4 linked regions of the Drosophila melanogaster genome follow. The protein of the gene in region 2 interacts with the protein of the main gene of each other region in a pairwise test. Each region holds a gene or a part of one and is shown on either strand. Other genes may lie near its edges. The genes, in order: CTCF, CG16812, eIF4E7 and CG12620.

Evidence for each region.
Region 1: the proteins of CG16812 (region 2) and CTCF interact in a two-hybrid assay, tested with the Drosophila melanogaster proteins (one large-scale study listed by BioGRID).
Region 3: the proteins of CG16812 (region 2) and eIF4E7 interact in a two-hybrid assay, tested with the Drosophila melanogaster proteins (one large-scale study listed by BioGRID).
Region 4: the proteins of CG16812 (region 2) and CG12620 interact in a two-hybrid assay, tested with the Drosophila melanogaster proteins (one large-scale study listed by BioGRID).

What each region holds. Positions count from the first base shown.
Region 1 is NT_037436.4:7,351,763-7,359,919, reverse strand, and holds CTCF (CTCF), read left to right. Parts: upstream 1-3,206; 5' UTR 3,207-3,339; exon of another isoform or gene 3,340-3,460; 5' UTR 3,461-3,462; coding exon 3,463-3,853; exon of another isoform or gene 3,854-3,914; coding exon 3,915-5,878; intron 5,879-5,940; coding exon 5,941-6,042; 3' UTR 6,043-6,342; downstream 6,343-8,157. Other genes in the region: pst (pastrel), read left to right, coding at 70-452, 531-1,069, 1,140-1,229, 1,305-1,474, 1,545-2,382; qm (quemao), read right to left, coding at 7,527-7,685, 7,822-7,949, 8,023-8,125.
Region 2 is NT_033779.5:13,218,835-13,226,189, forward strand, and holds CG16812 (uncharacterized protein), read left to right. Parts: upstream 1-3,752; 5' UTR 3,753-3,894; coding exon 3,895-3,913; intron 3,914-4,037; coding exon 4,038-4,454; intron 4,455-4,510; coding exon 4,511-5,098; intron 5,099-5,156; coding exon 5,157-5,500; 3' UTR 5,501-5,711; downstream 5,712-7,355. Other genes in the region: CG9426 (uncharacterized protein), read right to left, coding at 1-142, 203-658; mRF1 (mitochondrial translation release factor 1), read left to right, coding at 1,253-2,431; Ski6, read right to left, coding at 2,647-3,387; CG15480 (uncharacterized protein), read right to left, coding at 5,872-6,372.
Region 3 is NC_004354.4:1,156,656-1,165,624, reverse strand, and holds eIF4E7 (eukaryotic translation initiation factor 4E7), read left to right. Parts: upstream 1-3,235; 5' UTR 3,236-3,339; intron 3,340-5,492; 5' UTR 5,493-5,519; coding exon 5,520-6,809; 3' UTR 6,810-7,026; downstream 7,027-8,969.
Region 4 is NT_033779.5:17,085,179-17,091,640, forward strand, and holds CG12620 (uncharacterized protein), read left to right. Parts: upstream 1-2,462; 5' UTR 2,463-2,546; coding exon 2,547-3,410; 3' UTR 3,411-4,008; downstream 4,009-6,462.

The sequences.
Region 1 (8,157 bases), on a different chromosome or scaffold from region 2:
TAAGTACTGCTACTGCGCATTAGAATTTTGAATTCAAAGTATTTGGGGTAATGACGTAACCCCTTACAGGTTGTCCCATGAACAACATGACGTGCTAAGGGGCAAACTCTGTCAATTGATTCGTGATTCTCCGGAACCGAAAACTGCAACGGAAACTGAAAAAGACAGAAAAATCCGGCTGAAGGTCAACGCAGATAATGAGCGCGCCCGTCAGATCATTTTCGATTCCGTTTGGCAGCAACGTGAGTTGGACTTACAGATTGTATATAGTATAGTACATTTTTTCGCTGCCTTAACTGCGTACAATTGTTTTCCAGGAAAGTATACCAACCGTCAATCGCTGACGGCGATCATTTACGTAATGGTGGTAACTGACGAAACGGACGTCAATCGCGCCGAGGACGCCAGAGTCTTCAGCGTGCACCCAGTCTTTCGGGCCCGTCGATGCGTCGGTGAGTCATCCTTTGCATACGTATGCAATTTACAATATATTTCCTATCTATCTATCAATGGATCCATTTAATACTCAGTTGGCAGTAGTGGCACCAGCAGCGTCAGCTCGAATTGCTGCAATCTGTTTATCGACGAGCTTGGTCGGGTCTACCAAAACTGGGAGATGTATGTGACCACCAACGAGTTGCCTGCCGGAGTGATGGTGGCCCCAGAGAAGGGTATTTACCGCTTGGTCAGGGATCAAGTACGTCTGGATAAGTACACAACGCCGGCGGGCACGACCAACAGGAAGGTGCTGGGCTACCTGGATACTGGGTCGGCAGTCGGAGGATTTTTTGCTGCCTGTGTGCCCATTGCTGCCCTGCTAACGCTGCCCGTATCCGCTCCGCTGATGGGCGCAGCGGGAGTAGTAGGTTTGGCCAGTGCTGGATACGCCGCATCGCGGTCTGGCAGCAAGCTATTCGATCGCAGCCAACATGAGCAGTCTATCAATGTGACGGACCGCGAAGCGCGTGGTCACTGGTTGGGCGTGGCTGGTGGCACTGTGGGATTGGCAGCGGCTGGGGCCACCACAGTCTTGACAACGGCCACAAATGCTGGACGCGAGGTGGGAGCGGTGAGTCCTTAAACCCCCCCCCCCACGCAATCAACAATGGAATAAAAATGTTAAATATGTACTCACATAGATCACCCAACTGACTGTGAATAGCATGAACATATCCTCGATTGTGGTATCGGGCACTGGAGTTGCCAATGGTGTGCTGGATCTGATATTGGCAAGTCTCGAAACTTAGACTGTGATTAGATTAGGCTAGATAGATTAAACTTATGAAATTTATGATCTTCCACAGAAAGCAAAAGACGGTGACGAAATAGTTGCGATGGATGTTTTGCAATTGTCCGCTTCGTTGGTGCTGCTCACGCACAGCGTCTACAACTTTAAATTGGCTTCGACCATAATTAATGAGACAAGCAATGCTAATATTGCCGACTATCGTAAAAACCTTTCTAATAGGCAGCGGTAAAAAACGTTCAATGAGATACATTCTGTCGTAAACAAGAGTTTCTACTTGTATTTTTTTTACCATCAGGCGAACCTTTGACAAGGCTGCCAAGGAGACCGTTCGGATGCAAGGCAACACTCGCGGCAAACTGGACATTATACGCAACGTAAACGAAATTTCGCCACAAGAGTTTAATGATCTTTTTAAGATCAACAAAAACTTGAATCAGGAGGGCGTGCGATACTCATTCGCACCCGATGGCAAAGGATTTTTACTAAATGGCGATGTGCAGACGACGGGTGCGGAATTGCGAGCTAGTGTACAACATAACCAAGGAGGGAATGTCCTAGGCAAAGTTAGTCAGCCCATTCCCGGTAGCCATGCGGGTTCTGGTCGCCTTCAACTGGGCGGCGTTAATCAGGTTTCCCGTCTAATCGGACCGCTGCCCACATCCCATCCTCGACAGGAACCCAGTACCTATGCCGCCGGCGTGTTCGCCTTGGAGCTAAGCTCTGTGTTGGTGGGCGGTGTTGTTTTCGTACTGGAGAAATACGGAAAAATCATATTTGAGCACGTGATCAATGCTGAAAGTTTTGAGAGCCTAATCAACATCATGGCCAATAAGCTTGATCCAAAAGTCTTTGACCATATAATGCTATTGACCAGAGCCTTCATGGACACCATGCTGGAAGACCTCACCTCGGTGCTAAAGTTCTTTATATCAACGGAATCCGTTCTTTACCGCATTTTGTTGTACATTTTACGGAACTTCGAGGACGTGCAACTTTCGGTTATTGCGGATCACACTTGTGAGATCGTAGAAGCCGTAAGGGTGTACTTCATGTCCCTGAATCCAAATGCGTTCCCGGGTCTCCTTCAGAAGTGTCCGAAATGTATCGGCCACTTCAGCGTTTGTCCCTTGTAAGTGTTTAACGAAATGGTTCGTTTAACATTAGAATTCAAGGGCCATCAGCATGTCATAATTGATGCCCAATTGTTTAACCACAAAGAAACGTTAGCTAGTTCCGCAAATAATCAATGGGATAACTTACTTAATATGAGCACAAATTGACAAAGATGAAATTGTTTTAGCATTTAAATAAAGATTTTATTAACCCTGTTGAAATAATTGTAATAAAAGGAGAATTTTGAACCGGAATGGTTCTGATTTCCGGTTTTCGAACACAGAATATGTGAATCATTCATTGTGTAAAGGGGATTTTTTTTAATCTTTAAGAGTAATTCCTAAATTTACAATCTGATGTCATCTATACTATGGTATAATAGCAACAGCCATACCACCAAATCATTGAATGCCTTAGAATATAAGTCATAAATTCAAGTATCCCATAAGAACAACCCCAATTCTGGTGACAATAACAAATCCAGCCTGCCCTAATGTAACCATTAACATCTGCTGCCGAATCCGTTATTCCCACCAAAGGGTCAAAACCGCTAACGCAGCTCAAGTTCTCGGCTGATCAGTACCCATGAGCGATCCATCCACTCAAGAGGGCACCCAATCCAACAGACATAAACATCCGCAGGGGCTTTCGCGACATCAAAACCGCTTACGCAGCCCAAATCCTTGGCTTATCCAGTATCCAAAAGAATACAGATTATATTTTTTATCTAATAAATTACCGTGGATTCGTTATTATATATTTTCTGTTATCAAGAATTAAAGATAGTTTATATAGAGATGACAAGATACGAAACCAATCGAACTATCGATAGCTGGCGGTACTGATGCTACATGTCGCCATCTTTTATTAGAAATGGGCAGCTGTTTCATGTGGACGCAAATTAAATTGTAGATTTAACAACAATAACGACAACCGGCGTCCCTTTCAACATATTTTTTATTGGCAACCAAGTGTCGGTAGGTGAATTGAATCAAGCGGGATTACAATTGGTCGTTGCGAGAAATCGATAAGCGCCCTCTTCGGGATCCCGGTCATCCGCTGTGGGTCGCCACCAAAACAAATCCAATTTGTCCATAGGAATGCCAAGGAGGACAAAAAAGGACGAGGACCCCGAGGATCTGCAGACCTTCCTCAACAATTTCCATAAGGAGATCGAAGGCAACAGCGATGAGAAGGTGGTAAACACGATTTTGGAGGCCATCAGCGCCGAGGCCATCGACTTGGATGAAAATGGTGCGGAGGCTGGTGGATCGAAACCGATGGAGGAGGCGGAGGCTGATTTGGATCATGCGGAGGAAGCGGAGGAGGAGGAGGAGGACGACGAGGATAAGTATTTCATAGATGACGAGGGCAACTGCTATATCAAGACTACGCCCAAGAAGCAAAAGGAGCTACAAAAGAAGCTCAAACAGGCGGCTGCCAAGCCGGGGAAAGCTACACGTTCCGTGGTCAGTACAGCCACCAATAAATGTGAGTTACCCTTTGCCATATATGTGCGTGCATTTGTATCACTTGCTCGACTCTTTTTAAGCCATCAATTTGCGGCCAGCCAAATCGACACCGAAAGCGACTACTTCGAAGCCTCCCCCAGAACCCAAGGCAATTAGCGTTCGACCAGCCCGAGCAGCTGCAGCCAAGGCGAAGCAATCGGCGATGCCACCGCCACCGGCATTAGTGGTCAAAGTACCGGCACCCAGGGGCAGGCCTAGAAAGAACCCTGTCATACCGAAGCCTGAACCCATGGACTTGGAGCGGGAGCTCGAGGAGCTGGTAGATGAGCCCGACATCAGTTCAATGGTGACAGAATTGTCGGACTATACCGTAGACGAAGCTGCCGTAGAGGCAGCAACAGCTACGCTGACGCCAAACGAGGCTGAGGTCTACGAATTTGAGGACAATGCGACGACAGAGGATGAGAATGCCGACAAGAAGGACGTAGACTTTGTGCTAAGCAACAAGGAGGTGAAGCTGAAGACAGCTTCTTCTACCAGCCAGAATTCGAATGCATCGGGACATAAGTACTCATGCCCACACTGCCCGTATACGGCGAGCAAGAAGTTTCTGATCACGCGCCACTCACGAAGTCATGACGTCGAGCCATCCTTCAAGTGCTCCATCTGCGAGAGGTCCTTTCGATCGAACGTGGGCCTGCAAAACCACATAAACACGCACATGGGCAATAAGCCGCACAAGTGCAAGCTCTGCGAAAGCGCCTTCACCACCAGCGGCGAGCTGGTCCGTCACACTCGCTACAAGCACACTAAGGAAAAACCGCACAAGTGCACGGAGTGCACATACGCCAGCGTGGAACTGACCAAACTGCGCCGCCACATGACCTGCCATACGGGCGAGAGACCATATCAATGTCCGCACTGCACCTACGCATCGCAGGACATGTTCAAGCTGAAGCGACACATGGTTATCCACACCGGCGAGAAGAAGTACCAATGCGACATCTGCAAGTCGCGATTTACGCAATCTAACTCACTAAAGGCCCACAAGCTCATCCACAGCGTGGTCGACAAGCCCGTCTTTCAGTGCAACTACTGCCCGACGACTTGCGGTCGGAAGGCTGACCTGCGCGTTCACATTAAACACATGCACACCTCTGATGTGCCAATGACATGCCGGCGCTGTGGCCAGCAGCTGCCCGATCGCTATCAATACAAGCTGCACGTTAAGTCACACGAGGGCGAAAAGTGTTACAGCTGCAAGCTGTGCAGCTACGCTTCGGTCACCCAACGCCATTTGGCCTCACACATGCTCATCCACCTGGACGAAAAGCCGTTCCATTGCGATCAGTGCCCGCAGGCCTTCCGGCAGCGTCAATTGCTGCGCCGCCATATGAATCTCGTGCACAACGAAGAGTATCAGCCACCAGAACCGCGCGAGAAACTGCACAAGTGTCCGAGTTGTCCGCGGGAGTTTACCCACAAGGGTAATCTAATGAGACACATGGAGACTCACGATGATTCGGCGAATGCTCGCGAAAAGCGGCGTCGCCTTAAATTGGGCCGCAATGTGCGGCTGCAGAAAGATGGCACTGTCATCACGTTGATCAAGGATCAGTATGTGGATATGGACCGGGACCAGGAGGAAAACGAAGAGGATGACAACCCAGAGAGCTATGACTTGGCTGAAATCGAGCCGGAGAACTCGGAGGCTGAAGACGCCGATGATGATGTGGAAACCATAGTCAGTGATCCGATCCGTCAGAGAATCAAGCCAGCACCTATCATTATCAACAAACAGGCCAGGCTTGCCGCCTCCGAAAAGCAGCCGATGATCATCAATCAACGCCTCCGAAGTCAACGGGGCACCAAGACGTTCCACATCAAGGAGGAGCCGGACAACTCGGACTTCACCGTGGAATGGCAAGGGGATGATGGCGAGGTAATGGTCGTAGAGCTGGTTAATGGCGACGAGGAGGTGTTGGTCAAGCACGAACCGAGCGCCAACTCCAAGATCAGTGCCAAAAACTGCTTTGGTTTCGAGGTTAGTTGCAAAAACTTTAGCTGGCATTTGTTCCATTACTCAAAAATTTGGTTTTCATGCAGGACGACGATGATTATGAGGAGTATGGCGATGGGGAAAACGAGGTCGATGGCGCTTCCCAGGAGTTTCTGCAGCTGATGGATATGATTGAGCAGGACTCTTAGTCTCCTGAAAACAAAAGCTAATGGATAAGTAATTATGACTAACTTATGTACATACCAAGCATACAATAACGTATTTCTACGTTACATTGTTTTCTATTTAAATACACATTTAAAACAGTTAGGAAACCTATTTTTACTAGGTTAAGAAATGGATATTAAAAATGTATTCTTTCTAAATGAATGTATAATTCTGGATAAGCAGTTAACATGCCGATATGGCGACTATTTGTAAATGATCCCCGACACTTAAACTTTAGTTGACAACTTGGCATAAATATTTATTTAAATACATTTACATATATTTCAATGTTTTCATTAGTAGTATATAGTATATGGGCAAAATGTTAGGTGCGTTTGCGTTTAGCTGCATCTGGGCGTGCACTGTAAATTCTCGGCTATTAGTTGTCGTTTCTACCGTAAAATGTTCGCATAGTTTATAGTTTTCCATTTCCACTTCAGCAATCTGGTTAATTTTCTTGTTATTTTTCCGGTTTCTCTTGCCGTTTATTTCTTTTTGTTTCTTTCATGTGTATAACTACAATAAAAATATATATATTTTTATATATAATATATGTATATATTTTTTAGGTGGTGCAATGTGCAAAAACCTGCCGTGCAGTGCATCATTATCATTATTTCAATATATATAGTTGCGTTCATTTGTGTTGATTTTATAGTGTCTGCATAAAACATTAACAATTTGTCGTTAATAGTACATATGTATGTATGTATACGAATCGCATTTGTATAACAATTAAAATGGAACAACGTCGATAAAGGAAGTGCACATTGAGTTCCGAGTGAGTTAGATTTGATAAAATGACACTTAGAAATTGAAAATTGCTTGCAGAATTGAGTTACGAATACGAAACACACTTAGAAATACAAGAGCTAAAAAATTGCATATTCTATAATTCAGTAATGCTCTGCGAGATTTGCTTGATCCCCACCCCCCCCCCCCTCTCCCATTCGTTGGGCGAAACTAAAACTGGGGAAACTAAACGAGCTAACTAACTACGTAACTTTGAAGCAAAACTAAATTAAAAGTATAAAGTAAAATGTAAAAGTAAAAAAACAAATTCTTGGAAAGCTGTAATATGGCTCTTTGCTAGCTCAACGATAAGCTTGGCTTATATCAATTTACTTTTGGCTTAACAATTTTCTGTAAGGCTGCTGTTGGTTTTGTTATCCATCCCATTTCATCCGATTCACTATCAAATCCAAATCCTATCCTCCTCCTATTTCCGTTCTCATCGCTCTGGTTTCGGTTGACAGTAAGGTAGGGGTTCTCTGTGGGCTTTTCGGTTTGGCAAAGGGTAACATAAATCTCAGAATATCTTCAGCTTCTGCAGGAAACGCAACAGGGGCGCACTGAGGCACGCAGGCGTCGGCTGGCTGCTGGCCTGCTGCTGTCCCGGATTGGCGGCAAAAGAGGCTCTGCCGTTCGCAATTCACGACTGCTCCCTCTTTTGCCTCTTTGGCTGCTAATTGCAATTGAGCGTGTTCTGGTTGGGGCTGCTGCGTGAGACGTTGTTGTGATTGATCTGGTTCGACTGCGTGATGCTGGCGCTATCGCTCGTCTTCCACGACAGCAGCTTGTTGAGCAGGCGGTCCATGTACGGATTGCTACCCAAACGAGCCACCTGTGTGGGTTGAGAGATTACTTTAGTTTAGCACAAAACACGTAGCAACGATGGGATGTGTGCGAATTTCTACTTTTAACATCATCAAGACTTCCAAGCAACTTCCACTTCCCATTGCTTGTCTTCAAGTACTAACCTCCGACCGAGCCTCTGCGTCGAGCGACTCCAGAACCTTGCGTGTATACTGAAAGCTGCCCAGCTTTTCCAACAAGGTGATGCAGTACTTCTTGACCTCAATGTCGTGCGTGCGCTGGCGTAATATGTCTGTGGATATAACCATAAGCCATCAGCTTAATGAGTGAAAAGCCTTTGGTTGAGGTCAAGACGTTGGACTTACGTAGAACCTGTTTATCCTGCTTTTGGGTGCGAACCGCATGGATTACCGGGAAGCCGAACTTGCCCTCCGTCAAGTCCTCGGCGAAGCTCTTGTTCTCCGTGTACTACATCGGAATGTTATCACAGATTAACAATG
Region 2 (7,355 bases):
CGCAGTTGTGGGCCTCGGCGAAGCGTAAAATGCCCAGGGCATTGGAGGCGTGCAGCTCGCGGCAGAGGAACTCGCAGCACCCGTCGACCACCTCGTTTAGCTGCAGCATGTCGGCGGCGGCCAGGAGCTCCTGGACATTGGACTGTAAGATCAAAGAAGGGATTAGAATTTGGAGACCAAGCGACTAGGTGTATGGACTCACCTGGGTGATTTCGCAGCGACCCGTATAGATGAAGTCAAGCAGGATGTGCAGGATATCGCCGTCGATTGTGTGCAGCACAACGGATTTTTGCTTGACCTCATTTAACCCGAGCTCGGGTCGAAACATGGCCTCGAAGTAGGCACTGGCTGCACTCAGGACAGCCCGGTGGGCACTCAATGTTGCCATTCCGGCGATGATCTCCACGTCGCAGAAACGGGACTGCTCGCGCAGTTGGTTGAGATTGGAAAGCACCTTGAACGGATATTGGGCGTTGCAGTAGGAGGGCAGGTTTGTGCGATGGCTGGCCGCTGTGGCTCCAGATCCCAGATTTTGGCCAAAGAAGTCACCGTCGCCGCCGCCGCCGGTGGGATTCTGATTGGCGTTCTGATTGGCATTCGCATTCGGACTGGTATTGCCATTGTATTCGTGTATCTGGTATGTTTTCAACGGTGGCATTTCGTCAACTGTTGGGTTTTTACTTTTCGGCGATCTTGAATCCGATATCGCCTTAATAAATGCACTTTTCGGGGGCGACAGCACAGCTCAGACTCTTCGCATTCAATTGTTTGGCTTAATTAAACTTAATTGCTGCACTCTGCGCTCACTTCACCCTTTGTTGTTGCTGCTGCTGCTGTTGTTGTTGTCGCAGTCCGTTTATTTTTCTCCAATCAAAAGGCGAGCACACACACCCACACACGCAATACAAACGACTGCAGGCAAAAGGTTAGCATATCACAAATTAAAACAACCGAAGTCCGCTACTAAGACAGCTATTTCCCCATTAAGATGAAATAGTGTTTTTAATATTTACAAACTGGCATATTTCTTTGACTTTTCAATGCACTTTAGTATGTAGCTGGAACTGGAGTCGATGTTTTTGGGCGACTATCGATGTTGATAGAAGTTGCACTATGCCTGAATATCGATAAGTTCAGTTTTTATCCAGAACTTATTGATAGTAATCGCTGCTATCATCTTTGGTCCACCTCTTGTTGTTATTTAATTATTTGTATTTTATTTTCAATGAATTTTCAATGAAAAGCTGACAAAATGATATCGCGCAAACTACTAAACCTTCGACTGGGTTACCTGGCACGCCGTTGGGCCAGCACGGATCCGCTGAGCATTCAGAACGAGAAGCTGCAGGCTTATTTGGAGTCTCTACGCCAGGAATACTACGCCGTGCGAGTCAACGCCGCCGGAAACAGCAAATCCTACGCCCGTCTCGCCCAGCTGGAGGGCGTGGTCAGTGCCCTGGAGCAGCGACGCGTACTAGAACGGCACATCACCAGCGCCAAGGACATGGAAGCGGAGAAGGACGAGGATATGCGTGAGCTAATGCGCGAGGAGAACGAAGTCTATGTGGATCTACTGGGCAAGCAGGATCAGGCCTTACTGCAGGAGCTGCTTACGCTCTCTGACGATGAGGAGTATCCGGCTCTGATCTTCGGCCTGAATGCCGGCGCCGGTGGCCAGGAGGCAATGCTATTCGCCCAAGAATTGTACGAAATGTACACCGGCTATTTCGAGCACATGGGCTGGGAGTGGGAGGAGTTTGCCAGCGAGGGCACCGACATCGGGGGTCTGCGGCACGCTAGTCTGATGGTGAGCGGCGAGGATGCCTTCCGCTGGCTGCGCTATGAGGCTGGAGTTCACCGCGTACAGCGGGTGCCGGCCACTGAAAAGTCTGGACGCATGCACACCAGCACCGCCTCAATTACAGTGATTCCCCGACCCGCCGACATCCAAGTGCACATCGCTGAGAAGGATCTGAAGATCGAGACGAAGCGAGCGAGTGGAGCTGGTGGACAGCATGTTAACACCACCGACTCGGCTGTAAGAATTGTTCATCTGCCCACGGGTCTGGCGGTGGAGGCGCAATCGGAACGCTCCCAGCTCAAAAACCGGGAGCTAGCGATGAAGCGTCTACGGTCGCGACTTGTGCAACAGCAGTTGGAGAGCGTTGAGGCTAGCAAAATGGCCACCAAGAAGGCGCAACAGGGTAGTCTCAATCGCAATGAGAAGATCCGTACCTACAATTTCGTCCAGGACCGCATAACGGATCATCGAATTCAAGGCGGTACGCTGCACAACCTCAATGGTTTCCTCAAGGGCGGCGACCAACTGAGTGGACTAATAGAGAAGTTGCAACTGGAACATCGAAGGGAACGACTAAAGGAGCTCTTGGATAGGTGGGAGCCACCAAAAGAAGCTATTGAGAAAAACTAGAGCTACTTTCGTTTGTTACTACATTTATACGCCTGTGTTTTAGAGGATAATTGTGCTTTTGCAACAGAAATTATATTAAAAGAGAGCAAGGGCAGCCATCTGAATACAATGTTAAAGACACTATTTAATTTGTAAATGTTGGTTCCTTTTTATTATAATTGTTGCCCTTCAATTGTAAAAAACGACAAGATTGGAATAGAAAAGATTACTTTATTTCAACCAACTTTCGCAAAGTCAGAGGCACTGCCCATGTGCAGAAGGTGCTCCTTGACTGCTGCCTCCAGAATGTCCCTTATTTCGCGGCAACCCGCCATAGCAGTCTCGATGACGGTTTCCAAGTGATCGATGTGGAACCGCTCACTCATCTCAAGAAAGGCGATTTTCTCGGCGGTAGGCAAGGCAGCCACGGTTAGTTTCGGTCCGCCGGATACCTCCTCGAACTGAGAGATGTCTGTGAGCGGGATGTTCGATTTGCTCAGTGAGGCGGTGCAGGCGACAATGAACTCATTGAGGCAGATTCCCGCATCAATTAGCGCCAGTGTGGCGGCATTAAGAGCCACCGCATAGTTGGCGCCGTCGTCTTGGAGCACCTCCACGTATATGTCTATCTGGGAGCGGGGATATAGTTCTGATTTAATGGCAGCACTTAGCGCCTGCTGCAGGTACAACTTGAACTCCAGAGATTTGCGATCGCCGCGCGGCCTATTTTTGCGCTCCGCCGTGGAGAAGGTTGCCTGACTGTACTGACAGTTGATGACGGACTCTGTCTGATTGCCCTTGGCCTGGTGGGGTCCATAGACGGCAGCCAGAACCTTGGTGTTTCCCTGCTCCATGTAGGCACTTCCATCGGGCTGCTCGAAGACTCCCAGTTTGCACTTGATGCGGCGCAATTCATGAGGACGTCGTCCGTCCAGACGGAGGCCCTGCTCACTGAGCAGATCGTATTTACCAGACATATTTTGAAACTTTAGAAATACAATTATTTTGATTTTAACTAAATATCACACGTGCGGCGGGATTTGTTTACAATTTTAACAACAGTGTGGAAGTACTAAAAATACCGACAGTCCATGAAAAAATCCTTTTTATACTAACTTCTTTTAATATGTACACCGTACGTATGTAAGAGTAAATAAATAATTAAGCATATATTGCCAAAGTGTACTACATTAAATCACGATATATAGAAATTTAATAAGGATTTTAATAAGATTCTTTAAATTTAAATTTGAACAGTGTTTGCTTTGATTACCCCTACTACAACATTTTGGAATTTAACAACACTAACACATGGTCTAATCGATATCCGATAACCGAATACCGATAATCGTTCAGGATTTGTGGTAACTCTAAAATATATAAATAGTTTCGAGTGCAAAAAACGGAATTTATGGGAATAAAATAAATAAATAGTAGCTGAATCGTGTAAGAATCTGTGCTTGCCAGCACCAGAAATACGCAAAATGTCCAAGTCAAGCGCAGGTGGGTTTATAACATCGTGAAAACGAAACAAACTGAACAGACGCTTCCGGGTGCGAAACAAAAATAAAGACCTAAAAAATATCACACACTTTAAAAATAATGAACTCACCACCGAAAATTACAGCACGCTGGGTAAAATTCTTCAATGCGGCCGGCATCCCATCTCCTGCGGCTGCCGGCTATGCCCACGTCTTCGTGGAGAACCGCATCCAGGACGACATGCTGTTGGATCTTAACAAGGAGTATCTCCGGGAAATGGGCATAACCTTGATGGGCGATATAATCGCCATCCTGCGGCACTCAAAGACCGTCTGCGAACAGAATGCCCGGGAACAGGTCCTCACAACGGAGGTGGTTCAATCAGTTGTCCGACCGGTATCGCCAAAACCCAAAGCGCCGGTTGCAACTCCAAAAGCAAAGGTTTATCCGCCTGCGAAACCTGCAAGACGGGTGCTTCCGGAGCACGAGGGCAAGTACAAGGTGACACTGCCCTCGGGAACCACCGAGCGCAGCAAACAGATCTTAGCCAAGCGGGAAAAATGTAAGATTACAGATTTCTAAAGAACAAGATCAAATTTTCAATATATCTTCTTTTAGTATACTCCGATCGTGTGAGCAGCTCCAAAAAGTCGGACATATTTACGCGCCTGCATGCCGAGGACGAGGCGCAGGAGGGCATTGTCTCCAGTTCGGGCGAGAGCAGCGTCCGCGTGCACGTTGCCGGCGCATCAAAAACAGCGGCCACCTCCAGCAATAATTCGGTCTTCGCTCGACTCGGTGGCAAGCAGGGCGCTCTTCCGGAGGAGTTCACTTCGACCAGGGAAATCAAATCGATCCTTAAAAACACACACCGTACAGTTGGTGGTGGAGGAGGAGGAGGAGGGGTCACCAAGAACTCGCCCATTGTGAAAGCGAAGAAGGTGGCCGCTGTAACGCAGCAAAAGGTCATGCTAGTTCACAAAGTGCCTCTTAAAAAAGGCGACGACGACGATGATAGCATGGACGATTTCGAAAGTGACGAAGAGGATTACATGTCCAGCGGAGAAGATTTTGATATGGGAGCCGGCGAAAAGATTGTTAAGTTCGCCTCGACAGCGGAGGTTCGGGAAATCGTTCCCGAATCGGCATACAAAAATAGGCAGGGCAAAAGTTTTGCGAATAATATTAAATCAAGGCTCGGAATGGGTATGTTTGCTTCAGAGCAGAAGTGGCACAGTCAATTAATTTATAACATTTTTTTTAGTATCCAAACTTCATGCCACGAAGAAGACATACAACCTAAAGGCATCGCCTGCAAGGAAACCACAGGCTCGACTCAGTCCTGTTAAGGGCAAGACCATACGCATGCGCAGCGACGAGCTGTTTAGCCGACAGGACACGGTGCCCGTCCACAGGAGGCTTGGAAAAACCGCGACCTCCGCTCCCCTTAGAGCTCCACCAGCTCCGCCACATCGACAGCCGCGACCGGAGCCACAGAAGAAATATGTTCCGCCAAGGCGCCATAACAGCATGAATGCTGGTCACAGCAGGCAGCGAGATCAATCTGGCTCTGTTTTTGACCGCCTTGGCTTCAATAACTCTATGTAAAGTTTAAGTAAATGTGAGCCTCATTAAATTTGCCAGTACATGTTTGAATTAAAATAGAAGTTGATTTGAAATGTATGAAATGAATGAGAAATGGCAGGATTTTTGATCCTGATCTCATTATTTCAGTTTAAACTCCTGATTGTTTTGAATACCCGATTAGTATCCATCGCAAGCTGTCAGAACATAAAACCAATTGATTAACTTTATGATGAAAAACTATTTATTTTGTTTAAAATTATATGTATCTACAATTACGCTAGAATTTCGCATTCGTTCATATTGTACAATCTGTCCGCGGTCACTTAAAGGTCTATATCACTGGTTGCTAAGCAAATCACTCCGTTTCGAATGTGTTTATGTGCGCATCAAGCTCATTGCTGCAGCAGAGCCTGGAGGGCCTGGCGCCATTCCAGTGGCCAGGTGTTGGCATCCGGATTGATGTTGAGCAGTTGACGCATCTGGAGCACGGCACGTTGCTTTTGTAGCATGTAAGCGTATGCCTGGTGATTGAAGACCGGCGAATGGGTGACCGGAATTTGGGTTACCGGAACTTGGGTGGCAGGAAGCGGATGTTGCTGGTGCTGCGGTGGCGTGGTTGGTGGTGTGGGAGGCAATGAGTGGTGATGGTACAATGGTTGCTCCTGCATCTGCTGAACCTCTCGCTCCGTCTCCTGGCGACGCTTTCGTGGTGTATTTTCGCTGAGGGCATATGGCCGGAATAGGGGCGTGGCATTGGCTGGGTTGGGGGCGATATCCTTGGAGCTCTTCTTGCCAAACTTTTTGTGCGTATAGCCGGCGGTTTTGAACTTCTTGTGGGTGTAGCTCTCGCCAACTTCCGACTCGTTGTGGTAATCCATGTTCGAAGGTGCCATGATTGGGGTTTTAAGTTGTGTTGTTTGTTGAGTTGTTTTCACGACGGCTGTTAAGGCTCGACTATGCTCCTGCTGCTGCGCAACCAGGTTTTTATACCAACGAGATCAGAGGTCCTACCTGAAAACACTATCATTAAGAGCGAACATGCGCCCTGTTTATGGGAAACTCTTCGTTGACAAAAGGTTGGCATTGTCGTAGGGAGAATAAAAGGATTTCGGCATACATCCATACACTACGAGTACCTGTGACCATTGCTGGCCGACTACTACTACCTGCTCATCTGAAAGTCCTTTGTAATTAATTTTTCATTTGCTGCAGCGCGCTGCTCGCACCTTCTATTGTGTCTGCCTAGTCCGTCCGGGTTTTCTTGGAAATTTCCCTGCCGACTTTCTCGAGAAGCGTTTTCTACCTCGAAATCTGGCCAGCGCCTGCGCTTGCCACTCTTTGATGCTGGGCCACGTTGTCTGGACGCTTCGGAATCTGGATTCTTATCTCGCTTACCGCTAATCTGCCTCATTAAGTTCTCGTCCAGGGTATCCGGGTATACCTTTATGTACCTTCGGCAAAATGCCAGCCGCTGCTTAGTCACAATGGTCATTGAATGGAAATTTATTGGGATTTTCCCGAATCGATGGGTGCGCGTCTGGCCTAGTCTGTTCACGGGATTTCTTGGATTCTTTTCTTTTTTGTATAATAGTAGAGTCATAATTTATGGAAAAGCAAGAAATTTTGTTTATAATATGTCACTCACTATATGATTATTATACATTAATTAAACATTATTTTTTGTTGGTTTGCGATCATGAAAGATTGGTAATGTAGAAATTAAAATATTGCTATATGAAATCAGACTATAAGGTTTTCATTTTATACTTTTTCAAAACTAAACCTTCAAAGTGAAAATCTTGTGATATAAACAATAGAATATTGCTATACTGCATTATACTATAAGGGTTATAACCGACTTTAAATATCATTAGTA
Region 3 (8,969 bases), on a different chromosome or scaffold from region 2:
GCTTAAAAGTAACTAAATTTTTAAAGCGTTGCGATGTGCATACAGTTGGATTTTTGAGAAGCGCAGAGAACGGCGCTTAGAGGTAATTCAACTTCTAATGTGGTCCAATGCTTGGACTTTGAGAAGCGCAGTGAATGGCGCTTAAAAGTAATTAAATCTTTAAAGAGTTACAATGTGCATACACTTGGATTTTTGAGAAGCGCAGAGAACGGCGCTTAAAGGTAATTCAACTTCTAATGTGGTCCAATGCTTGGACTTTGAGAAGCACAGTGAATGGCGCTTAAAAGTAATTAAATCTTTAAAGAGTTACAATGTGCATACACTTGGATTTTTGAGAAGCGCAGAGAACGGCGCTTAAAGGTAATTCAACTTCTAATGTGGTCCAATGCTTGGACTTTGAGAAGCGCAGTGAATGGCGCTTAAAGGTAACTAAATTTTTAAAGCGTTGCGATGTGCATACAGTTGGATTTTTGAGAAGCGCAGAGAACGGCGCTTAAAGGTAATTCAACTATTAATGTGGTCCAATGCTTGGACTTTGAGAAGCCCAGTGAATGGCGCTTAAAAGTAATTAAATCTTTAAAGAGTTACAATGTGCATACACTTGGATTTTTGAGAAGCGCAGAGAACGGCGCTTAAAAGTCATTAAATTACTGATGCGGTGCAATGCTTGTATATGAGGCACGCGAGAACGGCGCTTAGAGGTAAGCAAATTTTTAAAGCGTTGCGATGTGCATACAGTTGGATTTTTGAGAAGCGCAGAGAACGGCGCATTAAAGTAAATAGCTTCAATTTTAACATTTAAGTTCAGTTCACTGGGCTTACTTCGAACAAAAATGACTTAAACCAAGTAAAACAGTTGATCCACACAATATTAATCCACGGCGATGGCATCTTTTGACACTGTTGAGAACCTTGTGAAAGAAACTGCTACTGCTGCTTCTGCCTGCGGCTGTTGTGGCAACATCATCATCATTCATTTGCGCCCAGGTGCGTTTTCGTGTGCACTCAGTATTTTGCCGCTTACTTGTACTCGTATTTGGGTTTTGGCATGGGACTGGGCTGGGGTTCCCGGTGTCTATTGCACACCTTGTGCCAACTTTCTGCGGATCCTTGCAACGAAGCCACACGTGAGTCGCCCTATTCTTGTTTGTTATTCTTAAAACTTGCGCCTGATTCCGCTTGGCTGGTTTTGGTGTCTGCTTGAGTTTTAGTTGCTGTCTGCATTTCGTTTTTGGTTTCCGGTCCTGTCGCCTGTTTTTGGACGCATTTCCTGGTCGATGTGTTGCTCTACCTATTAAACTTGGGTATACGTAGAAATAGTGAATTTCTACTTGTAATTTTTTCAGCTTAGGTTGAATGTGTCCCTTAGCTCAATAATTAGCAAACTTCTTTAGTGTTTTTGTTTATCTGAACACAGAACACAGTTTGGGGCTTTAGTGTTTTTCCAGTACGACTTTACAAGTTTCCATCGATAAGGTCACAGCTCCAAGTCGACGGATAAAGAAAACATTTCGCCACCAGTTTTGAACAGATGTCGAGGCCGCGGTGACTCTGGCTTTTGACGGTATGTTCCGAATCATTCAAAATTCGATATGTCGGCTAGCTACACACGCCTGTTCCGCGTTTTGTTCGTGATAATTTTCATCAAGTTACTCCTCCTTTTGGGACTCCTTTTGGACAGCTACGATGGTGCTGCCCGGCTTCAGAGGCGGTCGAATGTGGATATATTTGATGAACTACTCGTAGATCGGAGGCAAAGTAAGAAAAACTTCCAATTAGGAAAAGCTTTCGCTGGGGTCAGAGTGTATTAAAAGTGTGTCAATATCAGAATGTACATTTAAGGAGCCCACCTACCATTTTAGTGCCTTCTTGGGAGCAGCGATTGGAATGGATCCGCGAGGAAATGCATTCGTTTCCGCTGAAAGAGCTCCTGGCCAGAAAAAACAGACGATTGCCTTCAGTGAAGTGCGGCCCCGATATGATGAACATTGATTTTCATTGATAGCCCTCTGCCAGGCTATTGATGGCAATAGTCCCATCCACAGATCCCAAGTTCGTGGTATGTGTGAAGGCGAGGGATTTTCCAAAAACTGAGGCTTATTATATGCACCGCAAGTGCAAGTGCGTGTAACGCTGTATGCATGTATTTATGGCTTTTAAGCTGTGCCAAAGTTATTTAAATTACTGATATCTGGCTTCTTTGTGGGTTTATCATGTGATTATTTGGGCAAGCAATAAAAGAAAATGCTGTATTTTGGCACAATATTCTTCATGATTCCGTCTATGAGTTGCCTACAACAGCTGTTAAGTTTCCACGGTTGTCTGTTAAGTTGCCTGTCCCTCTGTTGCTCGATCGAGCAGGTCCTGGGAAATCCTTGTCGTTTGCTTCAGTCGGCCACGAACTGTTGGTCGGGTTGGAGGTGGACTCACCGACGCCACAACCGCCCTCTGATTGCCTTTTTGATGCATTGGGATGTTTGTATTTGATGTGTTGCTTTTTTGCGTAATGCAACTGCTAACGACTCTTTAAATATTTTACACGATTTAGCATTTCATAATGATAATACCCGCAATCCGCTTGCGGGGGGCATGCGTTTATGGTTCAATTTCAGTTTATGCATTCTCATAATGCTTGATGATTTCAGAATGCCGTGTTTGCATTTCAACTCCAAATGACTTTTTCAGAGCGATTCATTCGCTGGCAAAATGCAAAAATGCACATAGAATTTAATTTAATTTGCGCACACTCATGCACCATTTATCCACTTCTAATTAATTGCATTGCACAAGAACACAAAACGCAAAACATTTGAATGCGAATGTCTGAACGGACATGAACAAATATACAAATGTGAACAAAAACACGCTCAGAGCTAACTGAACTGAACTGAACAGGGCAAAAAGCGACACAAGATGAAAATATTCATTATTATTTGGCCAAATTGCGAATTAATGATATGAGCAAACAGGCAGGCCATAGTGTTGTTGGCATGCAAATTATGGCAGCGCGCAAAAACAAAAGCAATGCAATTTTTTAATTAAATGCTTTAGCTGTAATCCAGGAGCGCTTAGTGGAGTTCGGATTAGGCCATATACTCGCGAATCCGATCCCAGTGATGGGAAAAAATGCAGAATAGTACCGAAGTGGGACCGGACTTTTGTTACCAAAAGTCATTTTTCAGAGCAAAGTAAGTCTAGAAATATAAATCAGTTTTGGACGACACTTCGTTGTGAGAACAACCGGGTTTTAGTCAAATTTTATTTACAAAACCATTGCGATTTATTTGTTGATATATTTTGATTGACCTAAGCGGTATTCGGATATTCGCAGTGCGTTAGGTAAGTTGTGTAGACCCAATTCGTAGTGATTAATTATGGCATTAGAACTGTTCGTTGGGTTTCTCCTCCTTCGTCATCTTCGTTTACAAATAAGGTAGTGTGTTCCTTGTCGTATGTAGTATGTCTTGTCTGTCGGTCAGCTTAGATTTCATTGGCTGCCGCCGATTACTGGGAATCCCCGAAAGTATGCAAAAAGTTGGGCTAGAGCAATTGAGCGGATTGACGGTAGTGGGGATGGAGCTACCCCTGCTTAACCCCATCACCCGTCTAGTGCAACCGGCATACAAGAATACGAGGAACAAAGTTCAAACTAGCCAAACAAAACAAAACAGAACAGAGCTGAACTAAACTAAACAAAACAAAACAAAACAGAGCTAAACAAAACACACACAACGCAACAGGGAGCTGCTCATGTTTTTTGTTAATTAAAATTGGCATAGCAGCCGAGGGGAAAGGCAAGGACTGGGAACAACATTTTTGCATTTTCATCAGTTTTTCGAGGCAGCTAGCAGTCAGCAGCCGGCATTTGAACATTTCAACATTTCGGCATTTCAGCCAGCGACGATGGCTCACAGGTCATAGGTCACAGAAGGCGAGCACAGATGCCAATGTAGAGTAGTCCACCTTCCTTCAACTTCCTTCCCACTTCCAACGTTCAACTGAATGAGTGCCACTTCCTCGCTGTGTGCATATTTACCTTTAGAACATTTACTTTTTCAACAGACGACAACCGACCCGTTGAGGGCGAGTCCTCGATTTATGTGCTGCCAATAAATTTGCCCAACACTTTGGCCCCGTCTAATGCAATATTTACATCGCATCGGGCCAAATAAAAAATTGCATCGATAGGAACTGAGAAGGGCGAAACTGCTTTGCGGGAACTGAGAGAAATCCAAGGTGCCTTCTATTGTGGCTTTCGACTACTCCCATAAGTAAATTATTCATTGAAATGAATCTAGATCGCCAAAGTACAGTGACATAAAGATTCAAAAGCAGTTCATTACATGCTATAATCTAAACTACTGTCGCGATAAAATTTAGTTGATCTCTGTAATACTTTCGCTAAGTGCACCCGCACGTCTTGTAGTTTCTGTTTCTGTTTTGGCCCTGCTTTTCATTTTGATGTCATTTAAGTTAAAAGAGGAACATTTGGAAATGTCGGGTATGAGATCCCTAAACGGCTTTTAAGAAGGAAAACCTCCTGCAATGTGTTGCCTTTGTTGTTTCCCTAATTTGTATGGCAGAAGTGAAAGGAGATTCCCATATCTGTACAGTTCTTAGCCCATGCCAAGTGATACAAATGTACATATGAAGTCCATGGTTAAGGCACAGATATTCCATTAAAACAAAATCGGGTCAAATAAAATGGCCATAAACTGCTTGCCAAAAGCGTGAAAGCACAACACTCGCTCAAAGTCCAAGTCCGCTCAAACATTTGCCACGCCTTGGATTCTGTTTCTGATTCCAATTTCTGATTGATTTTTTCTCACTCATAAATTCGAGTCCTTTTGACCCCATTTTAACTTATGGCAGCCAGAGTCAAATCAAAGTTTGTTCTCCTGGTGGTTTACTTTTGTGATGCCATTACATAAAGATTCCTTCGTCCGCTGCATATCGTAAATGTAGAGAATTTTTAATGATTTTAAAAGATGCGTAAATACCAAGGCATCGTAATCTTTTCTATCGGAGATTTTGGCGTGTGAAAAACGCTTTTACTCGGTTATTTCCAAGGGGCAAGCACAACTTGACCCAGCTAATAAGAAATGCGTGCTGTGTTACCTTACACCCGTGTGTTTGGGGTTTTGCACCCACTCAAATCATTCAGTTCGGGGGGTGTGTAAATATTTGTTGCTAAAGTTGCCAACTTCTGCACACGTCCCTTGGTCTTGGTCAGTTTTTCCTTTCGTGCTTCCAAAGAAGAAATTTCCAGCTCACGTCTTAGAGAAAAGGGGCATGTTGGCTTGTTTGCCTCATTAGTCGGAAGTTCAGAAAGAGCGTTTGGCTTGGCTTTGTGGATTCATCATATATATAATTGTATAGGAAGCTACGAAAATGAAAGATCCCAAAAATCGCCATTATATTAACCCTTTTTTTTGTTAGATTTGTTTGTTTAAACATAGCGCTAACCTCGCCATTTCCGTATAACTCTACAGCCGTTGCTGACCTCGAACAAAGCCGCCATGCTTCCCAACAGCTTTTACAGGATGAGGGACTTTGCCAATCCGAGAACAATGTTTAAAAGCTGTGCGAACAACAATGAATATCCCACACAAGGTCCCCAAAAAGTGGAGTCACCAACTGATGTTACCCAGCCTGCTGCAGCTCCTCAATCCACTGAAGATACTCAACCAGAAAAGACCCAAGAACCGATGAATGATCCAAACAAAACGTCGCCATCAGAGCCCCAAAAACGTGGCAAGGGGAACCGGAAGGGCAAGAAGAATCAAAAGAATGCGCCACGCACTCCCAGTCAGACGAGCAAGAGCAGTCGAAGCAACAATCCGGGCAAAGATGGAAAGTCGACGGGAAATGATGACAATGAGAAGGGTAAAGGCCAAGGAAAACAGATGGTCCAGCAGAAAGAAAATAGCCCTGAACAGGAGCAGTCGACTAGTGCACAATATAGGAAGAATGTGCTCGACAAGGATCTGCAGGACAAGAAGCTAATCGAAAAGAATATGCAGGGAAAGATAATCACACAAGAAAATCTTTTAGGGCAGAAGGTCCTAATGCGGTTATCCGAGCAGAAGCTTTTGAGCTTGAGGCTCGAGCCCAGGATTAAACAGAACACATGTCCACCGGCCAAAAAAGAAGATGCGGTGGTCGCTTTTGACAATTCACTAGAATTTCTGTCACTGAACAATAAATGTGATGATGATCTGACCATCGCGGCGGAGAACGCCGAACTTTTGGAGGTCGAGGATCCTCAACATCCACTCAACAACTGCTGGACTCTGTGGTATCTAGAGAACGATCGAAATAAAAGTTGGGAAGAAATGCTGCACAAGGTTACAAGCTTCGATACCGTGGAGAAGTTTTGGAGCCTGATCACTCACATCAAGCCCCCATCCGAGCTTATGCTGGGCAGTGACTACTCCCTGTTCAAGAAGGGCATTCGACCCATGTGGGAGGATGAGGCCAATGTCAATGGAGGACGCTGGGTCATCAACTTGACCAAGAGCGCCAAGATGGCTCTGGACAGTTTCTGGATGGACGCCATGCTCTGTCTGATTGGAGAGGCCTGTAAGCACTCGGACGATCTTTGTGGCGTTGTGGTCAATATTCGCGGAAAGTCGAACAAGATCTCTATTTGGAACGCTGACGGGGGAAATCAGACTACAGTCCTTGAAATTGGACGCATTTTACGCAAGGTTCTACGCATGGACAACATATACGTGCTGGAGTATCAGTTGCACAAGGACTCCAAGGATAAACTGGGATCAACTGTGAAGAGAATATACACTGTATAGGTTCTCATCAGACAATTGCGAATCGAAACATTTTCAGTATTTTCGGTATTTTTTCACAAGAACTTGAAATGTCAAGCAGGTGTGATCAGCCATCGATCGATAGTTAGTTGGGTTCCAAATCTCTAGTCAAACCATCCGTACACGTACACGTTGTACATAAAAATTTGAATGTTGCTCCTATAGAGCGACGAAATAAATACATAACTATTTGGTCAAGAAGTTGTTTGTTTTAAAGTGTGAAATTGGAGAGTGTTGGAGAGAGACTGCGAAATGTTTCTAACTATGCACCTTCTTTACTAATTTAACCCGATTCCAAGAACATGCAACATGGTTTGTCTCGATTCCTGAGTTCCAATCGGTGTATTGGATGTTCTTTGTCTGCTCCACTGCTAACCATTGGGGCGGGCATTCAGAAGTTGGTTGCTAGCTTTTTGTTCGCTTTCACATCGGTCAGCGGACATGGGACATTTGGACATTGGACATTGGCCGTTGGACTTATTTGGCGCACGGCGTCACACAACTTGGCCGTGCTCAATTGTTTGATTTATTGGCATTTATTGGCAGTTGGCATTTTATTGTGACTGCTTTGGGTGACCACGTAAGGGGAGCCAATGATGTTGGAGTGGAGGCAGGTGCGTTCTCCTGGCACTGAATTCCTTTTGTTGCTGTTCTTGGCCACTTTTCCATTTGACGGGCTTTAATGTGCTTAATGTATTTTCTGTGCCTTGCTGTGACCATTTTCCTACCTTCTAATTTCTTCCTGAGCTTTTTTTAGCCACTCTTGCGAGGATTTACTATTTACCAAATATTCTGGTGACTCCACGAAAAAGGTCAAGGCCCAGGTGATTTGGCCCAAGTGCGCACCATAAAAGCGAGCTCACCTATATTTCGCCATTGATTTATGGCACTTAATTTCATTCCATTGTGCCAACGAGCCAGAGCCATTGATTAAACACCTTAACGATTTTCTATGGCCACCAACCGTTGTAGTTGGGCACCCACTTATTAGAGATGGAAAACCGAGGAAAGCGAAAGCGAGAAGCCATTGTATCGATTTGGTTTGCGATCCCAAACGGTGGGGGATGGTGGGTAAGGGGGCTTACGGACTAGTCCGATGTTTAACAATGGTATTGGCAATAAACCGAAACGGAAAATCTGTAACATATATGTATGCTGAACAGGAGCCGAAACCAAGCCGCCCACTTCACCCAGAACAATTGCCAAAAAGTCCTTTCTCTTCTGTCCTATAAATAAAAAAATTTGAAGTGTCTGGCACTCGCACACCGACTTGGGATTGCTCTAAAATTTAAGTATTCTATGTATTCTCGCGCAAAACTAGAACCAAAATCGGCTTCACTGGTAGCATGTATCTCAAATATCAGTAGTCAAATGAGAGCTTTGCCTATACTAGTTGAATTTCGAACGTTGCGCTCACCTATGTGCAGCGGACGAGTTCCTCCTCCAATCGGCCCCAAAAATAAGATAGAAACGAAAATGTTCCTTTAGGCTGCCAACTACCCCAAACTATGGGGCTCAAAAAAGGCCGCCCCACAGGTGGCATTTGTGTTGTAAAACGTCGATTTACATGCGTGTGCTGTATGCACAGGGGAAAATATGTACATACATATATGCATATACGCACATGTACACACAGGTAAGTGGAAGTGGAAGAAGAGGCACACCAAGGCACTGGCGAATTTCAATTTATTTACTTTTATTTGCGTATGCAAAATAGTCGGCTGCGGCTTGATTTTGGTTATCACACGCATTGGCGAAGGGGAATTTAGGAGATACAAAGGGGGATTGCTAAGAGGTTTTTTTGTTTCCAGCGCTTAAACTAACGCTCTTTAGGTTAAGCTGTTAAAGCAAATCGGTTTCTTTTTTTTGCAAAAACAAATGGGGCGTAGTTAAGTTATTAAATAACTTATAACTGATTTCCCAAGCGAAACCATTGAAATAGCCCAATCGATTTTGCCAGCTGAACTAATCACTCAGCTTAAAGAGCCCGTATCCTAAGCACAGAGATATAGCAAAAAAAAGAAAACCACTCATTGTGGCAAGGACTCACATCAGCTATGGACAAATGGGTGCCTCAATTCTGACACTTGGCCCAATAAACAATCCATAATCTATAAAGGCACTCCGCCCACGTCCCCCCTT
Region 4 (6,462 bases), 3.9 Mb from region 2:
CTTATGTGGGATTCTTCACACAGCTTATTGGCTTAAATTATATAAATGCAGGAATAATTAGTCATTTTTACTTTGTTTATATATTTGCTAAATGTTTTTACTATGAATAATGTCGTTAATTAAGTTTCTTCATAAAATGGATAGTAAAATATTCTTAAAATAATTCTCCAAGTGCTCCTCTTACACCCACTCCAGTGGCGAACACTCCTGACCATGTATCCGTGTCCGGCATCGGGCACGAAGAATTTGTTACATGAAATTGTTAACGGGCTGAAGCCGATGCCTCGACTCGACTGCGTTTGATGCCTTTTGCTGATATATGGCCAACCTTTGACATCCTTTAAACGAGCAACATGATGCTCTAGATTATGGCCAGGAGATTGGCCCGACTTTTCCCCGTTGACTCCTCGGTTTGCCCGGATTGTCTCACTTGGGCGATACGTCAATGTGACAGTTTGATAATTTATTTTGTTCAAATTTTGTTTTTCCTTCGCTGGGGAAAAGAGCGCTTAAATAAGTTATCAACGTGGACCGACGGCCATGTAAATGGCAGCACGTAAATGAATGAAATTATTTTGCAACAAATTAAGGCAAATTTATGCGTCAAGGCGACAGGACAGGGGATTCGAGATGGGTAAGGGAGATGGGATCCTGGAAGCCTTGTAACAGGAAACACAATCCACAGGCGAACAAACAAAAGCGAAAACGGAACAGCACGAGGCGAAACGAAACGAAACGAAACCAACAAACAAACAAACAATGAAACGAAAAACGACAGCCTCGAAGAGTGAAAAGCGACGAGTTTTCCTTCACCGAAATCTGAGCAAGGCTTTGTGCAACAAAGTGAAGAACCCGGCTGCCCCTTTTCCGCATTTACAAATCCCCCCACCCCTTTAACGGGTCTAACTGCGTCCGCTCTGCACTTGTACACATCCTGACATACACATATATATTTTTTATTTCCCAGCCAAGTGAGGCTGGAATCAAATGTCAATAGAGAGTACATTTCATTCGGTCGGGTGACTGGGTTTTTCTGCCCAGCGCCACCCACTTTTCAGTTCCCCGCATTGTAGCTGTCACAGTGTTTGTTTGCGGATTTGAAGCTTTTCCTCTTTGCAACGCGCTTTTTTGCCACGCCTGCCGTTGTCCTTTATCGAAGGAGCGGCTTGAGTATTACGAACTGAATGCAACACCTCGATATTCTCGATACCTTATTTAATCTCATCGGCATTATCAAAATGAATCCACTTATCTGCTTTCATACTTTTTGGAATATTAATATAGTTTCTTGTATTTAAGAAATAAAATGTGTCAATCAATGTATTGCTTTTCTTAAAGAAATTTTTCCAATTTAATTTATATTTTTTTGGGAAATCGTCACCTAGAGCATTTCGAGTTCGTGTGGCCTTCCTCAAGGATCTCTAATCTGCTTTCTGGTTCGGATTCTGGTTTTATTTCCGGGCATCCTCCGATGCTGTCCGCCCCTTTGCCCGCCCACCGACTAGATGCTTTGGACTTGCTTTTTATTTGCACGGAAATGTATAATTTTTCCGAGTCAAATGTAAATACTTTTAGCGTATTTTTGTGGGATTCATCGCCTTGAATTTTTTGTGACTGGGGGCCTGGGGCGTGGCACATGCAAATGACACGCCTGATGCTGCGTAAATAATTTTAGCGCTCTCTCTTTTGGCATAAAATGCTAAATAAACATTTTATTCTTGGCAGAATTCCTTCTTCGAATGTGGGTCAAATGGAGTGTCCATAAAAGGCGCTTTTATCCCAAAACCAGATGCCGAAAATACAGTTTAATTGTATGCATATTGGCTGCGGTTCCGTTTGAGTTGGTGGAAACGTCACGTTTCAACAGCTCAATTTTCGGTTTTGCGATACGCGAAGAAACTTTTGCAATCCAATTAAATTCATCGCAAGTCGAAATCTCGTTTTGACAATTTATGCATCCTTGTGAGACGCCACAGGCATATTTATTCCCATCGATGGCTAGACAATGACGCCTGCGGTCCAATAAATAACCGTCCTTTTGACACAATCGAAATTGGCTCGCAAACAAATTTCTTTTGTCGAGATATCGCCCTTTTTTTTGTGCCCACTCGCACCAGAGGTTAAACACTTAACCCGCGTTGTGGGAAAAATGTGACATCAAATTATGGAACGTAGGCAAATCGCGGCCGTTATCAAAAAATGTAGTAGCCATGGTAGCCAGACTGAAGTCCACGATATGGTTTGATTAAGCGAAGTCGTGGGGTAAATTTACAAGAAAAAAACGAAACGCAAATGAGAGCGTCAAATATATTAAGGCATTTGCATTGGAAGTATTATATTATTTTTCTAATGATCATGATTAAAATGAATTACTGAATTTTTTCCGATATAAGGCTAAGCTAGTTAACATAGATTAAAACATCAAAGCTAACACATCTAGTTCAGTCTGGGCAGAAATAAAACTTAAACGTATAAACATTTTATATATCCCAAAAATAAGAAGTAGAACCTAAAAAAAAAAAACAAACACATTTTGTCTTATAACCATGACGACTAAAAGAACAAGGTTCGATAAAATGAACCTGGGAGTACCCGTTCACTCGGACCCCTATGAAGTGGAAAATGAATCGGCCTCGTCAATAAAAAGAGAAACCGGCGAGAAGGTCATGTCTCATAAGGAGCTAATGGAAAAACTGCATAAGGAGGTGAAGCTCACGACGCCGGACTTCTTCGCCCATGATCCATCCTGCAGCTCGGACGACTCCGAAGATTTCGAATTCCTGGAGACTATCAAAGAGCGAGCCAGACGCATATCCTTCGTACGACGCCGAAAGCTGCACTACACTGAGTTCTCAACGGTCGAGTTGGCCAGGCGTCTGATCCGCGAGGAGTTCACAGAGTCATCGGAGAGTCAACTAAGCGTGGATGATGAACATATCTCCGAGATCGCCGAAGAGGAGTGTCCGCCCTGCGGCACAGACTCCGACGACTTACTTCCGTACTTCCAATACGATCGGGCTACAGACCAATCGATGATTTCCGACGACAGTCTGCCAAAGGAGGATCCCGAGCCCGGATTCCATCCCGCCCATCATTGCTATAATAAGCTTATAAGCCAGACTCCTGATCCGCCGATAGTGTACGTTCCCGCGGAACCAGAACCGCAACCGGAACCGCAACCGGAACCGCCAGTGGAACCGCGACCGGAACCGGAACCAGAACCAGAACCGGAAACAGTACTACCACCAACTGCTCCGGAAGTCATTGATAAAACAGCTCCAGAAGAAGAAAAACACACTAGGGTCCTTGACCGTGGCGAAAATATTGACCTAAAGAATTTGAGCGCCATACAGAAAAACATAAGTTCGAGTGTGAAAAAACATACTGGTCAAAAAACGCGAAATTTATAAACTTAAATTGATTGATGCAATTGATGTATATGGGATCCCATTTCTCATTGTGCATTAGATTAGTGTTGCCTAAATTAAGAAAATGTTTCGTTGGCTGGAAATCAAAATCCAATCCGTATAGCCCAAATGCTGCGAATGTTTTTACTTCATATTCCAGAAGTTATATAAGGCTTTATTTTAATCGTAAAGTCAAATAAACCCATATTCGTAAATGCATACAAGCTAATGTAGACACCAAATAACCGTAATCGCCTCTGATCTCAAATGACTCCATCAACGCTCTCTTTCCCCAGCGCAGCTTTAAAAATATAGTTTTCTCGACCCGGAGACCGCACAATTATTTGGGCCATAAAGGACAAAACCCGCACTAGCGCACACATGAAGGGACGGAGGACATTCAAAGGGATAACTAAGTGTGCACGATAATGACGCCTAACGGGTTCCATTCTTCTCCTTGCTTTTTTTTGCGTGGGTGGATACTAGGAAGATGAGACAATAAGGAGCTAGAAGGACAATGTGCTGAAATTATTTCAAAAGTCTTTGTGTGCGATGAAATTCCGTAAAATACAGCCATTTTGTATTGGCCTTTTAATTTAATAAAATTATTACTCTTAGGGATAATATGGATTGGTTTTAAGTTTACTTTCTGTAATATGTAATTAATATTTAGTTAGTTCAATTCATAAACAAGAATTATGGTATTTTCATTCATCACAATAATTGTCAAGCAAGTGCCGATTTCAATTCTTTTGTTTGTTTTCAGATCTGTATGAGCTCAACTTACATTACAATATTTCATTTATTATCCATACCCATTTTTTTCATTTATGCAAGCCAACATGGCTTTGTAGCCTGTGCGTGTAAATGTTTTTGATTCTTTTAAAATATTTTAATTACGGAAGTTTACACATACTATTTCTTTCTTTTGTTTTCTTTTTTGTGTCGGTCATGTTTTCCCTTTCGATACCGGTCATTGTTTTGTTTAATTTTTGTATACACGTTAAATATGTATAGTGATAAGAATTGTGCAAGTTTTGTTTGAAAAAACTGCCACGTCCGTCGGTAACTCTCTTACCTCCATGAGCTAAAAAACAATTTACAGCCTACACTTTTGAAAACCGAGTCAATTACTCTCCAATTATATTCGATATCGGATAGGCGAAGAGCCACAGTATCTTGTTTTCTCTGGACATGTTAAACCTAACTTAAATTTTAAGAGATGCAATATAAATATAAGTTTAACATCAAATTTAATGCCGATATATAACTTCAAATCTAGCAGTATCTTGTGTGGCACATCACTTTGGTGGTGTAGCAATTAAATTCGTCGGACTTAATAGCGTTTTCATTTAAGTAATCTTCAACAATTTCAACCCAGACGTTCTCGATTTTTGGCCAATTTGGCGTTCCTTTCGGCCATGAAATGGAAATAAATATCACGTCATACGATCTGCAGCAAAATCGTCATTCGCCTAATGAAGACTTTGTTGTCTATGAAGGCTAAAGCTGGAAATGTCTAGACATTCTCGGTTGCTTGAACCCCTCAGCTGTGGATGCAGTCCCAGCTGCTGCCCGTCTGGAGTTAAAAAACAAGTCGAAGAGATTGTAATCCCTACTTTAGTATACTACAGCACTTTTATGACATTTAATTGCCGTTTGCTTTTAGTCCACACACACGCTTCTTTTCTCGAAAGTTTGTTTTTAAAAGGGATACAAGGCTAAATAAGTATTGAAAAGCGAGTGCAGCTGACCTTTCCTTAAATTGACCTTAAATTGAAGCAAGCAATTCTCTATTAAGTGATGTGAAGAGAATCCTGTAACTTGGCACACCTCAAACAAACCAAATTAAAATTAAATGTATTTTAGGTCATCGCAATGTGCTGAAATTAATCTTTAGCATGGCAATTTGGTTAATTTTTTATGGGGCCCACAAAGTGACACGTCATGCCGGCAAATCAAGCGAAGTGGTCTGCAAGTGCCTGGTCCTAATCATCATCCAAACATTGTGGCCAGTCATCGTGACTTATGTCAACCCGTTCAAGTGTGTCCCTGCTAGAGTCCTTGCATGTACATGCCTCGTGTAGCAAGGATACAAAGCAATTGTTCACCGCAATCGGCGGCATTTGGAGTGCTTTAGACTTAATGTGCGTCGAGGGGAGCCAACTGCAATCGGCATTCGTCGATGGCAATCGAAGTTTCTAGCGATAGGTGATCGGTAATCAAGGATGGAATGAGTTCCCATGACTGTTTTGCATTTGAAGTGGCTTCATGTTGCTTTGTTGCTCTAGATAGAACTGCTTAGTAATTCAATTAAATGCCTAATTAATATTAAGTATTTTTGCGGCTTTGTAACACATTTATTTGAATTTACGACTTCCATTTTTTTTAGTTTTTTATTAAATTTATATGTAATGATATCATAAGCGGTAGACCAAATCCCCCAAATGCCACCTTGATTGATTGAGTGATTGATTGACCTTATTTGTAAGCACTCATGGGACAGTTTACCCTTTTGACCAACTGCCATCGAGCGTGAAGCTGTCAAAACGTGGCTATGGAACGGAGCGGACGGTATCCATAAAATATGGCTTAAAGCCAGGCATCACGTGCCATGAGTGTTGACCCCAAAAGAAAACCGAAAATCATAACTCAATGTCGGGCTAACCAAGTGCAAAGCGCGAAATTAGTTTACACTTGAACTCGTACAGTCCGCCCACCTGGTTTTCCTTTTGCACTTTTTCGACTCCACACCCACGGCTTTCCACCAGCTCTCGTCGGCCTTCTTTTTGCTGCAGTGGCAGTTGCAGTGGCAGTGGCAGTCGCAGTCGCAGTCGCATTCGTGTTCATGCATAAACAAAATGGCTGCTGCAACAACCGGAAACTGACAGCAAACGACATTTGCGATATGCATCATATGTCTCCCAGCTTTTCCGCCCGACCCACCCCCTGTTTTTCCGCTGTCATTTTCGTTGATGCGGGGGCTGGGGGGTCGGCTACTTGGCATATTTCTGTCGTGTCATTGTTCCTTGTGCGTCTTTTTGTGCAGCTGCTC